Linked DNA regions of Drosophila melanogaster. The protein of the gene in region 1 interacts with the protein of each later gene in a pairwise test. Each region holds a gene or a part of one and is shown in the gene's direction. Other genes may lie near its edges.

Evidence for each region.
Region 2: the proteins of CG1677 (region 1) and Pgant7 interact in a two-hybrid assay, tested with the Drosophila melanogaster proteins (one large-scale study listed by BioGRID).

The regions. Positions count from the first base shown.
Region 1 is NC_004354.4:7,402,558-7,407,699, reverse strand, and holds the start of CG1677 (uncharacterized protein), read left to right. Parts: upstream 1-1,902; 5' UTR 1,903-2,555; intron 2,556-4,525; exon of another isoform or gene 4,526-4,600; coding exon of another isoform or gene 4,601-5,142. Other genes in the region: CG32727 (uncharacterized protein), read right to left, coding at 1-139, 199-393; CG15035 (uncharacterized protein), read left to right, coding at 4,601-5,142.
Region 2 is NC_004354.4:18,494,269-18,501,833, reverse strand, and holds Pgant7 (polypeptide N-Acetylgalactosaminyltransferase 7), read left to right. Parts: upstream 1-1,847; 5' UTR 1,848-2,397; coding exon 2,398-2,602; intron 2,603-3,412; coding exon 3,413-3,889; intron 3,890-4,331; coding exon 4,332-5,425; 3' UTR 5,426-6,767; downstream 6,768-7,565. Other genes in the region: Xrcc2 (X-ray repair cross complementing 2), read right to left, coding at 900-1,652. UniProt on the Drosophila melanogaster protein: Glycopeptide transferase involved in O-linked oligosaccharide biosynthesis, which catalyzes the transfer of an N-acetyl-D-galactosamine residue to an already glycosylated peptide.

The DNA.
Region 1 (5,142 bases):
TCTTGGGCTTGTGGATTTTTCCCGCCAGATATGGTGAGCCGTTTCGATCCGGATGTTTAGCCAGCATGGCTCGTCGGATCCATGGAGCGTTAGGACTAATACTTAGTATTTTAGATGCTTCACGGTGCGACATCCGTTTCTAAATACATAATTATATTAAGGAAAAGAATTTGTTTGAACAAAACGTACAGCCATTACCTGAAAGCATCCGCTATAAAAGCGTCCTGTTCCTAGATTTCCAAAACATAACCTCAGCTGACCAATCGTCTTGGTGCTGTTGGGCGATCTAAAGATCTGGGCGGCAACGCAGCAGGTAGCCACGCCCACTGCCACAACCGTGCTCACAAGAGGTAGATAGTCACTAAAAGACGGAGAGACTTTACTGGCTTGCATTTTGATTCTGAATAGTTTTCGCCCGAATCGAAAAGAATATTTATGGTATGAAAATTTTAAAAAGAATATTCAATGTATGGAAAATGTTATGCTTGACATTAAATTCTAATGTACATTGATCATTTGTATTCAAGCAAGAATAAACATCAGACAAGAGTCACTAAAACTCATGAACCTATCCCTAACCGTAAAACTTAAATTTGAACGTATCCTTTTCCAAGTAGACCAATCAAAATGGGCTCTTTAAAGTTTTAAAGGGCCAATCAATTTAAGCCTTCTTTAACTTAAAGTGCCTATAACACAGACAAAAGGCTGAAGCCTGGCCGCACTTTCACTTTATTAACACCAAATTAATTTTGTCTCGAAACAAACACCCAAGTATATGTACACAAATACGTATAGTTTATATATATTTATGTATATGTTGAATTCAAAAACCCCCAAACTAAAGTTACACACATGAATACATTTCGTGCACAGTTGAGTGCAGCGATTGAATTTTAAACAAGAACGAGAAATGCCGGCAATCAAGTCAAGTCAAGTCAAGAAGGAAAATGAACTTGGAAAGGAAACTCCAAGGCGACGGGTGCTATAATCAATATGCAGCAGTCAATAAGAAGGAGCAACAATTACACAGGACCTGGGGAATAGATGGGAATTAAGGCTGGGGGGGGTGAGGGTGGTATGGGCTTGGATGGGGTGATGGCTCGGGCTTGCCCCATAGTTTTGCAATGTGCCTCGGTTAAATGATGTGTAATCGTCTTATGTGCACTCGAATGCCTTTTGGCTTCTAATATGGCTGGGCATCAAGCAAGGACCCAGGACTACAGGACTTCAACATACATACACACACACAAGCTCACACAGGACAGCAGGACAGCTGAGGACAAAGGCTGGACCCAAGGACCCAAGATCCCCACACGCCCACACACACAAAAGAAAACTTTGCCATAGGCTGACCTCAAAATGCACAACGACACAAACTTTAATTTACAATCAATTCAGGCGTGAATAATAAACCACAAGAAACCAAACAGAGAGTTTTCCCCGAGACGAAGTGAAAGTGTTGCCGTTGTTGCCCTTTGTCCTCTCGAAAATTTAGTTACAACACACAACACCAAAAGTTTGCCAAGTTTTCGAGGCAAACAAACAAAACTCTGGAGTAGCAACTCGTACCCCCATTGAATTTACCCAAAAACCGCAACACTTCCGGATTTCGAGCATCTACTCCTTGGATAGGAAATTCCGCCCAAGTGGTCCTCCTCGGCCATCAATATTGTTTTCCTATTAAATTGATCATTGGTCAGTCAACAATTGCGGCGAGCTCCATTGTCCACTTGACCATCACACAATTGTCTGGCATTTTCAAAGCACTGACGAAAATTCGGGAACATTTATTTAATTTGTTTGTTGAGTAGTGTTAGGAAGAGAGAATTCCGAAGATCGAGCGAACTTTTACCGTTTTCCTTGCGTGAGATGTGGCGCTCTCTCATTTTCTCTGTTTGAACCTCTTTCAGTTTTCATTCTCGCGAGCGTAAGTAAAGTGCGCAGTTGTATGACAAAAACGGAAATAATAGAAATTCTTCAGGTTTACAGCTCTAAAATTATTTAAAACGCAATAAACATTAAGATTAAATGTGATCGCACAACTGAGTGGTGAATTCGGTAACAAATTTTAAGTTTAAATGGTAGATTTCGCATATTTCTCGTGAGTGACGCCACTTTTCACATGGCAGCACACTTTGCAATGCAGGAACCGTTACTTTTCTTTTGTGCGCGTGCTTCGTAAGTGCGCACTTGTTCGATCTCTGTGTATTTGTTGTTTTAACATAACCTTACCTAACAGAACGGTTAAAAGATAAATTGTAAATTTGTATACACATGCATATGAAACTCCTCGTGTTTTCGGCTTTAAAATTGTTTAAAACGCAATAAAGATTTATATTAAATGTGATCGCACAAGTGCGTGGTGAATTCGGTATCGAATTTTAAGTTTAAATGGTAGATTTCGCATATTTTTCGTGAGTGACGCTTCTTTTCACATGGCAGCAAACTTTGCAATGCAGGAACCGTTACTTTTCTTTTGTGCGCGTGTTTCGTAAGTGCGCGTGTTTCGATCTCCGTGGATTTGTTGTCTTAACCTAATCTATCTTAACCTAACGGTAAGTTAACTCCAAATTGTATTTACATATTTACATATATACGCGAAATGTTGCATTTTTAAATTGGGAATTTCACAGAATATTAATCATAAATAAATATAAACTATTAATGTGTATACACAAGTATATGTCTATAAGTAGGGAGCGTTTACTTTTTTATTCTGTAACCCAGAAAGTCTAGTTGCACAGGAAATACAGAAATGCAGATCCAAAAATCCTTTTGTGTCAGATATTTGTGGCAAACCGGCAATGACAATCAATTGCGGACGAATCGAGAATGTGGGGTCTTCAAGTGGGTAAACAAAAACAGTTGCCTACTTACCGGCATCAGGACACCAGACATCAGGATATCAGGACATCGAGTGGAGCAGTCAATCAGTCAGTTCCTGGTTCGCTGATCTGTGAGCCTGTGATTTCTATGAGTCCTGTGTGTCCTCAGGGTCCTGAGAGTTGCTCTACGAGTATTTGCCTCAACACCCACTGCAAATTAAATTCATTAGTCAACTTCCGGCTGGGAAATCTGGTATATGGGAAAACGAGAGTGAGAATAGTATGTGTTGCCATCTGCTGGCTGCTGTCAATTCAGACGGATTTGAAGTCAACTCAATTTGAAATCAATAGTGTGTGAATAATCCTTTCACACCGACACATCGACGCACATGGTTGGTGTGCATCTAATATTCCCATTCTCCAAGCCCCAGTGGAAAAGCCACGTTTTCGGGGACTGGGAGTAAAATGCATCTGGTGCTAGGATTGTCTAGTCTGGATGGTTGGATAAATGGCTGGATGGATGGCTGACTAACTGACTAACTGGATGCTGGGCACTTGAAAACGTTTTTGCATTGATTGCACTTCATATCAGCCATCCAATCCAGTCAGTGATTCGTGCACTCATTCATTCATTCACTCGTTCAAGCAGGCCGTTTATTCATGCCACTCGCATATGTTGCATCGCCATTTTTTGGGTTGGAGCAATCTCAAACCCAAACTGAAACCGAAAACACGAACCCAAGTAGACATGGCAACAAAAAAGGCAAGCCATTAAGCGATGACGACGATGAATGTATTTAAGCAATTCAATGGTATTTCAAAAACAGCACACAGTACAAAAAAAAAAAAAAAATACAAAAAAATATTATAAAAAATTTTTAAATTAAATAATTAATTTTAATTAGATAAGTATTGTAACAGCATGAAAAGTGGATGAACTTCTTTATGATGTTATGTCAATATTGTACCCATATAATATTTTACATAGAACAACTACTTCCAAAAAATCATAGAAGGCGATTAAGAAATTAAAAAATGTAATTGTATTAAACCTTTTTTTTTTTGAGTGCAGCGCCACCTGCACCACCCACAGCTGCAGCACTTCATCCCAGTCGAGTGGCAAGCAATGAGCTATGCATGCAATTCAAGTGCCACATCTGCAAGTGCAGCTGGAAATGCAACTGCAATTGCAGTGACTGCCTTCCGATTCCCAGACAACAACCAAAAAAGTGCACAGTCCACGGGGAAGCCCCAAAAATTTCGGTTGGTTTGATGGGGCTTGCAGATCCGAGGGGCATTCCAGCTTCCATTCCCATGTGGCACCACTTGGTATCTGTTTGTGTCCGTAATTGTGCATAATTGAGTTGAGCCCTCCATTTTCAGAGGTATCTTTGTGGCACGGGCAAATGGTATGGAGGAATAAAGGCGGGTGGGCAATGTGCTTTATATCTATGTTCCAAAACGATTATAGGCAGTTTAAATTCACTGAAATATTTAAATAGGTGAGATTCGATTGGAAAAGCAAAATAGTTCGATATTAAGAAGAAATACTTAGCAAAATAAAGGTTTATATAACAATACACTTTATGTTAGGTGGAATTTTATTTTTAACAACTGATGGATGATAGATGGCGTTGATTTAGTCGAAATATATGTCAAATAGATGTGACACCCCTTCGATTTAGTTTTCGTCTGACATTCGTTTGAATAGCACACAATCGCGTAGATTTCGTATAACATATACACATAGTTTTGTATAAAGGAAAGCGCAGGCTATGGATGTCGAAACAAGTCTGGATATCGAAGAAATGCGCCGAAGGATTCAGCAAGGCATCAACAGATGCTGTGAACAACTGCTTGAAATAGCCATGATTTTAACCCATAAAGGTGGTCAGGTTTTAAACCGTTTGAAGGGAGCATCATTCCCGGAGCTCGCCCAAAATAGTGAAAATATCGGTAATGGTTCAATGTCCGAAAATCAGAATCAAAGGCTCGATCCCATGACAAGTGCACAATATACTACTTTAGGATTTGGAAACTTTGATGGCGAGGGGGACTACTTGCGGCAGAAGAATAAAATCAACATTCAACTTCCGCGTCTTGTGAGCGTGACTTGCGGCTTTGCCAAGGATCACATAAGATATCCGGAATATAATCGTGGAAAGTTTGGTGAGGATGCCTGGTTCATGTCCTCCAGTCCACAGGCGTGCATAATGGGCGTGGCCGATGGAGTGGGCGGTTGGCGAAATTATGGCGTTGATCCCGGAAAATTCAGTATGACCCTAATGCGATCCTGTGAACGAATGTCACATGCACC
Region 2 (7,565 bases), about 11 Mb from region 1:
TTGATTGAATTCGAATGTCTTAATGTTTGTGACTAAGCCATGAAGGAAATAATCGTATTTAAACAGATAATTATTTATTGAAATTACATTTAAATTAATGATTGTATTTAATAATAATTTTTACTAATTTACCGGCTTTTAAGCACTACCAAAATCAATCGGCGGATAACATTAAAAAGCCCCCCCCCCCCCCCTCCTCTCCATTTTAATTGCCATTACCATACACCATCATATTGCTTCTTCTTAAAATGCTAAGAAAACGATAAAAAAGGAAAACGAAAACGAAAAAAAAAACTGCTAAACAAAACCACCTTACTTATGTATAGCTTTTAGAAATCATTAGTTTTAAGTATAATTCTGGTAGGGTTGGCCTTCTTCAAAAACAAAAAAAGAACATAGTGAAGGTTTCAACACAATTTTAAAGAACTGTTGTATTTTTTTTAATTAAGATAATATTACTGATATATAATATTAAATATATTACTGAATGGAATAAGTCATAAAAGCGAACTTTCCTTCTAGATCTATATGGACTATAATTTTCTTTGTTCGAGCGGGTAAAACTAGGAAGATATCACGGAAATTAAAGTATATTTGAGTTCGTAACTATCTAGATAATGTAGAAGTTATACCTTTTTTTTAACTTAATTAGTTGCACAGATTACTTTCTCACTCATAGGCCTTGAAATTGTCTAATAAAGGAGTAATAACAAATATAATTTCTAATCCCTAAAAGGAAGATATTATTAAAGTTAAATTGTTAAACTATATACAATTTTCTTAACCTATCAACTCTATATACAATTTAATCAACTCTATATACTCTATATACAATCGTTTACTTCTTTCAGTTCCTAGCATCATTTTGTCCTAAGATTAATAATAATAATTTAACTATGTTAACTGGGCTGAGTCAGCAATGCCTCAGTAATTTCCTTGCTAGTATTTGTATCCAAATGAATTCCATTGCTAAACGACAGCGGCAGTCCATTCAAGAGGATCTGGTTTTGAATCTTCTGCATCCTGACATGGTACTTTATGCCAGCCTCGGGCAAGTTTTCGCCAAAACGATTCTCCAGAAAGGCAGACTCCACCGTGTACATGCCGCAGACGATGGCATCCTTGCAGAGCTTCTCCAGGCGCGCCTGGAGCAATCGATAGTGGCGATACATGGACATTCTCTTGGCAATCTTAGGCTCATCTAGCCAGTAGAATTCGCTGAGTGTGTCCATGGCAACCAATTGTATGCCAGGATCATTGATGATCGCGTAGCGGGCGTCGATTAGCGACGTGGAAACATCATCGTTTGCAAAACAGTTGAGGAATCGCACGCGACTCATGCACTCGCCCGCAATCTCGGCCAGCTGCTCCTCCGTGGGGCATTTCGCAGCAATCACTTCGCCGACAGAGTACGCCTTCAGCTCCATCCTAATGCTCTTGGCCAGAGATTCACGGTTGATCTTGTGACTCAGATTGATCAGCAGGACGCTCCACTGGCGACCACCGAATTTGTAGGGCACCAGGCAGTGGGCCACCAACTGTTGGAGCACCAGGCTTTTGCCACTGTTCCCTGGGCCGGAGATCTCCACCAGCGTATCGGCTTCAAAGCCGCAGGAGCCAAAAACGGCAAAGTGGAGTTGATGTGAGCCCATTAGGTTAAATTTACAAATTTGCGCCCTGGCATAAACAAAGGAGTTATCGATTGTGGCCTTTATCGATGACAGCCACCTAAAGTTGAATTGCGCAGCGCTGAAACATATTTAACACTAAATGGAACTAGGGCATATCGAATAGTTAAACAACAGCAGCAAGCGTTTCGTTATAACTTTCAGTTAGCATTTAGACTTATTTGCGCACATACATAAAAAAAATCCATTTTCACCACCCTGTGTTATCGCCCAGCCGCCTATCGCTGCTGGTGCCTAATTTAGCCCTAACGCCTGGGCGATGATAGAAAAAACGGCATAACGCGTTCTTACCAGTTGAACATCGTTTTCTACCATTTTTTGTTTACGTTTGCACCGCGAATATTCGTGCACCTGCACTCGCAATTTGCTCAAAGCCAGCGGCGCTTTTTCGCCGGCAAGTTGCTCCGCACCGAGTTAAAGCATCACTCAGGCGGACGAGCTGGTGTACTCCAGTTAGCTTCTCGCCCCAGCACTTGTAATTGTCATTATCGGCGGGGCGCCTTTGATCATTCAGCGGCATCTCGAATCCGAACCAAAAGTGGTTCTTTTGTTCTCTTTCTGCTTTGTGGCCACCTTTCCGCGCTCCCCGCTTACCGCTTCCCGTCTCCCGCGCCGTGCTTTTTCTTTCTGGCCACCTAGACACGTCAACAGATTTGGAACTTTGTAACTGGAATCTGGAACTGGGCATCGGAATCGGAATTAGGGAGAGATGCGCGTGAGCACCATCCGCAGCGGTCGGATCTGCCGGCTGGCATTGTGCCTGCTGGTACTGCTGCCGCTGCTGTATCTGCTGGCCAACTGGAGCGATCACCACAAGCGCGTCCAGGAGGCGTATCACACGCGCTTCGGCGGACCCAAGTTCGCCCACCAGCGATTGGAGGGCAGGCCCAGGGAGGTGCCCAAGCTGGTCGATGGTAAGTGGCTACAGGATCGAGGATAGCAATATCAGCCCTTGACCAGGATAAAGAATAGGATTGTGTCACCCATAACGTGAGCCTTGCCATTAAGATTCCTCACTCACGTATTATACAATTTTATTATGGAGGACTATCATCAGAACTAAGGATACAGAGTAGTTACCATATCATTGTTGAAAAGACCGAGTTGTTTGCTTACTGCAAACCCAGCTAAAGAATTCAGTAATCTTTGCTTTATATCACTTAAAACCGGCTTTTGCTCGTTTTAACCAATTAATTACTTGCCATGTATGCTACATAGTATTCAAAGAAGTCTTTATTACCACGTTTAGCGTGAGTAAAGTATGGTTGGAGGTTAAAGGATAACCTTTTCCAACCCATATCGTACAGTCTATTCCCAGTCTAACTTACGAGCCCATTTCAAATATTTATCGCATTCTATTATACATTCTCCAAAACCGGCTTTGTAATGGCCCTAACCAACCAACTATCAAATTCGGATAGAGTGAGAAAATAACCTCATAAAAGTCATTTTTACTGCACAGCCACCAAAACTAGTGTGTCTTTAGTCTTTTGTATCAAATGCTAATTCTAGTCGTAGAATATTCCATATGACCATAAGATGGTTAGATGATGGCATATTATTGGTCTGTAATACCCCGCCTTTATGCATAAGTCTGAAATTATAACCCACACCTCCTGCAAGCGCATACAGTGAGTGGCTGGGCCAATATTTAAACAATTGCTGTAAGCTTGCATAGGTAATTTGCACGCGCCACACTCACAATTTGTTTTTGCGTTTTTCAGGCCTTGGCAACTTTGAGCCGAAAGATGTGAAGCCACGTAGCGGGCCTGGCGAGAATGGCGAGGCCCACAGCCTGTCGCCGGACAAGAAGCACATGTCGGACGCCTCCGAGATGGAGTACGGCATGAACATCGCCTGCTCCGATGAGATATCGATGCACCGATCGGTGCGGGACACGCGGCTCGAAGAGTGCCGCCACTGGGACTACCCCTTCGATCTGCCGCGCACGAGCGTCATCATTGTCTTCCACAACGAGGGCTTCTCGGTGCTGATGCGCACCGTGCACTCGGTCATCGATCGTTCGCCCACGCACATGCTGCACGAGATCATCCTGGTGGATGACTTCTCCGACAAGGAGAACCTGCGCAGCCAGCTGGACGAGTATGTGCTGCAGTTCAAGGGGCTGGTCAAGGTCATCAGGAACAAGGAGCGCGAAGGTCTCATCCGAACGAGATCCAGGGGAGCCATGGAGGCTACAGGTGCGTATAGCCCATATCTCATTTATGTATATTGTTATGTGTTCTTGCATAACTTGCATAACTCATGACGGCTTATCGCATAGTTAAAAGAACGTGTTGTATGGAAAACAATAGTTTTATCTTGAGATGTTTGCATCAAACGCTGAAACGCCAGCTATTTGGAATTTGAATTGAAGATAACTTCACGTTCCGCTTTGTGGCAATGATAAACCTTTAAACTGCAGACTCATTGAATTTCTTTTACATTTTCTCAGCATAATAGAATTGCCTATCATTGCAATTGAAGCAAGATTATCGTCGATTTCAAACAAGCCTTTTAGCATAAACAGTATGCATAGAAATTTACAAATTACTATTTTAAAGCATCATCCTTTAAATCATCATATTAACCCACAACCTTATAAATATCCACACAAACACTAAACTGCTTTGCATCCCGCAGGTGAGGTGATCGTCTTCTTGGACGCCCATTGCGAGGTAAACACCAACTGGCTGCCGCCCTTGCTGGCGCCCATCTACCGGGATCGCACTGTGATGACAGTGCCCATTATCGATGGCATTGACCACAAGAACTTTGAGTACCGGCCGGTTTATGGCACGGACAACCACTTCCGCGGCATCTTCGAATGGGGCATGCTGTACAAGGAGAACGAGGTGCCACGTCGCGAGCAGCGCCGCCGTGCTCACAACTCGGAACCCTATCGCAGTCCCACGCACGCCGGCGGCCTGTTCGCCATCAATAGGGAGTACTTCCTGGAGCTGGGCGCCTACGATCCGGGTCTGCTGGTCTGGGGCGGCGAGAACTTCGAATTGAGCTTCAAGATCTGGCAGTGTGGCGGCAGCATCGAGTGGGTGCCATGCTCTCGCGTGGGTCACGTCTATCGCGGCTTTATGCCCTACAATTTCGGCAAACTGGCTAGCAAGAAGAAGGGTCCATTGATCACGATCAACTACAAGCGCGTCATCGAGACGTGGTTCGACGACACGCACAAGGAGTACTTCTATACGCGCGAGCCGCTTGCCCGCTACCTGGACATGGGCGACATTAGCGAGCAACTGGCGCTGAAGAAGCGACTGAACTGCAAGAGCTTCCAGTGGTTCATGGACCACATCGCCTACGATGTGTACGACAAGTTCCCGGGTCTGCCGGCCAACCTGCACTGGGGCGAGCTGCGCTCGGTGGCCTCCGACGGATGCCTGGACTCGATGGGCCACCAGCCGCCGGCCATCATGGGCCTCACATACTGCCATGGAGGCGGAAATAATCAACTGGTTCGGCTCAATGCCGCTGGCCAGTTGGGCGTCGGCGAGCGCTGCGTGGAGGCCGATCGGCAGGGCATCAAACTGGCCGTGTGTCGTCTGGGGACAGTCGACGGTCCTTGGCAGTACAACGAGCACACGAAGCACCTGATGCATCGCGTCCACAAGAAATGCATGGCCCTGCATCCGGCCACGCAGCAATTGTCATTGGGTCACTGCGATGTTAACGATAGCTACCAGCAGTGGTGGTTCAAGGAGATACGCCCACGCTGGTAAGTCCAGCATGTTTGGGAGGAGCAGCAGGAGGAGGAGGATCAAGGAATGGATCACAAGGGTTTCAGCCGGGGCAACGGGGGCGATATTTTAGACAAAAGCAATTTAGTGAAAATGAGAAATGGAATTGTTGTTGGTTTTGTAACGCATATAAGTATTGATATACACACGAAAAACACAAGATATCACACACATCTGCATTTATGACGCGAACTGTATGTACATATGCACTGTCGGCACTTGGAAATCGCCTGGGCAACCGGGATTCAGACAAGGGCATTCAATGCTCGGCGAATAAATAAATCCACAAGGATATTATTAAATTATTAAAGCTTAAGAATTTCGATTTTGTAAAACAATGTCGTAAGGAATCGCGAACAATTGTATTTCCATGTAAGCATTAGAACAATTGCTTTTAGACCATATTTGTAGTGCATGAAGTGAATGCAATTTTCAAAATCGTGTGTGTGTGTTAGTAGTAGTCGTACTTGAAAACTGTTTTCCACTTTTGTCACGAAAGATCAAACTCCACAAAATGCACTTAGTGCAGAGCGTACGAAAATCATCACAATTAGCTGATAGTGAACCCATTCCCATTTCGATCGGCGAATCTCATACAATAGATATTCAATTGATATTTGGGAGGATCCAAGCCTGGGGGATTTCCGTGCCGACCTCGTGTGTGTGTGTCCTTGCGTATGAGTGAGAGAATGCGATGGGTATAGAGCGGAAGCGAATAAGAGCGAGATAGCGCGATGGCGGGATGGCGAGTCGAGTGCAATAGAGGATTTATGAAACGGGAACGGGACGCGATGACAGGGCCGCAGATTGTTTTGCTTTATGATTGCCAACTGAAAAAATGAATGTACTAACCTTAGTCTATACTCCTGCAAGTCCAACTAATCCTAGCTTAGTTTCAACGCTGCCACATTCCAATCTAATCCATTATAATCTATTCTAATTCCAATCCAATCCAATCCGAACCGAACCAATCGAGTCTGCAGCGAAGCTCGGCTCTCTTACTACTAATCCCATTATTTTTTTTTAAACTCTTGATTTTCGTAAAGCTCTCTGTACCAGGTAGTCGTAATCGTAATTGATCGTTGCAAGTGCTTCGGGAGTTTGATTTTTGAAAACAATATTTTACATTCATGTGTAACTTTAGAGTTATCGATAAGTCTGAATAATAGCATAGAAATAAAAACGTTTTCTAAACACTTTACCATGTAAGCCGAGCTGTTGAATGTTTAATATTGTGGGGAAGGGTCGATCCATTTATAAATCAATAGATATAATAAAGTTCCCATCTCAAGATGTGCTCACAATTTGAAACCTAAGTGCACAGAACAAGTTCGCATTTTTCGAAAGTTTTTAAAATTTCTTTTAATTTTATATTCTTTTGACGTAGGTGCACCATTAATGCCCCGCCAATTCTTTAAGTGTACGCATAGAATGGCGAGTAAATCCAATTTTAAGCAGATGATTCATAACTTATTGTTAAATCAAATCTACAATTATCGATGGCCGCGTTGATTGGGAGTGGTGATGATGGGTCGATTCGTCTCGAAGGTACTCGACGTCCCACTTCCAGGGAAGTCCACGGGCGATAAGATTCCGGGAAGTTCTTTCCTCCATCGCGGGTAGGGAAGTCTAAAAGCGCGAGGAAGGGGGAGGGAAGTCCAACAGGGGGACGCCAGCAGGTGTCAATCCTGGGGCAATAGATTGCGCCTAGAGTTAGTTTTTGGCTAATCAGGGCCTGAGGAAAAAAAAAAGATTGTTTGTTTACCGTCGGATAGGAAAGGTCGTACTCCCAAAGTGGGAGTCGTGGTCTTATCTTCCGCCCATTGGTACACCATCGCAGCTGCCGGCGGGGCGAAAGGGGGATGATTGGATCCGAGCGCAATAACACCGAAATTGTTCAATTTAATTGAGTGAAGTGGGAAGCTTCCTTATCAGCATTATTATGGTTACACTTCCGTGGGGTCGCTGCACTGTAAGGTGCTAGATATAAAAAAAAGCCCAATAACTCATTTATTTATCCTCTAAGCTCTAATTCAATACAAGAGTTTCATTTCTGAACGAGAAGTAGAGCAGTTCCAGCGTCGGTGTGACTCTTTTTCCGGTATTGGATTAGACATTGTCA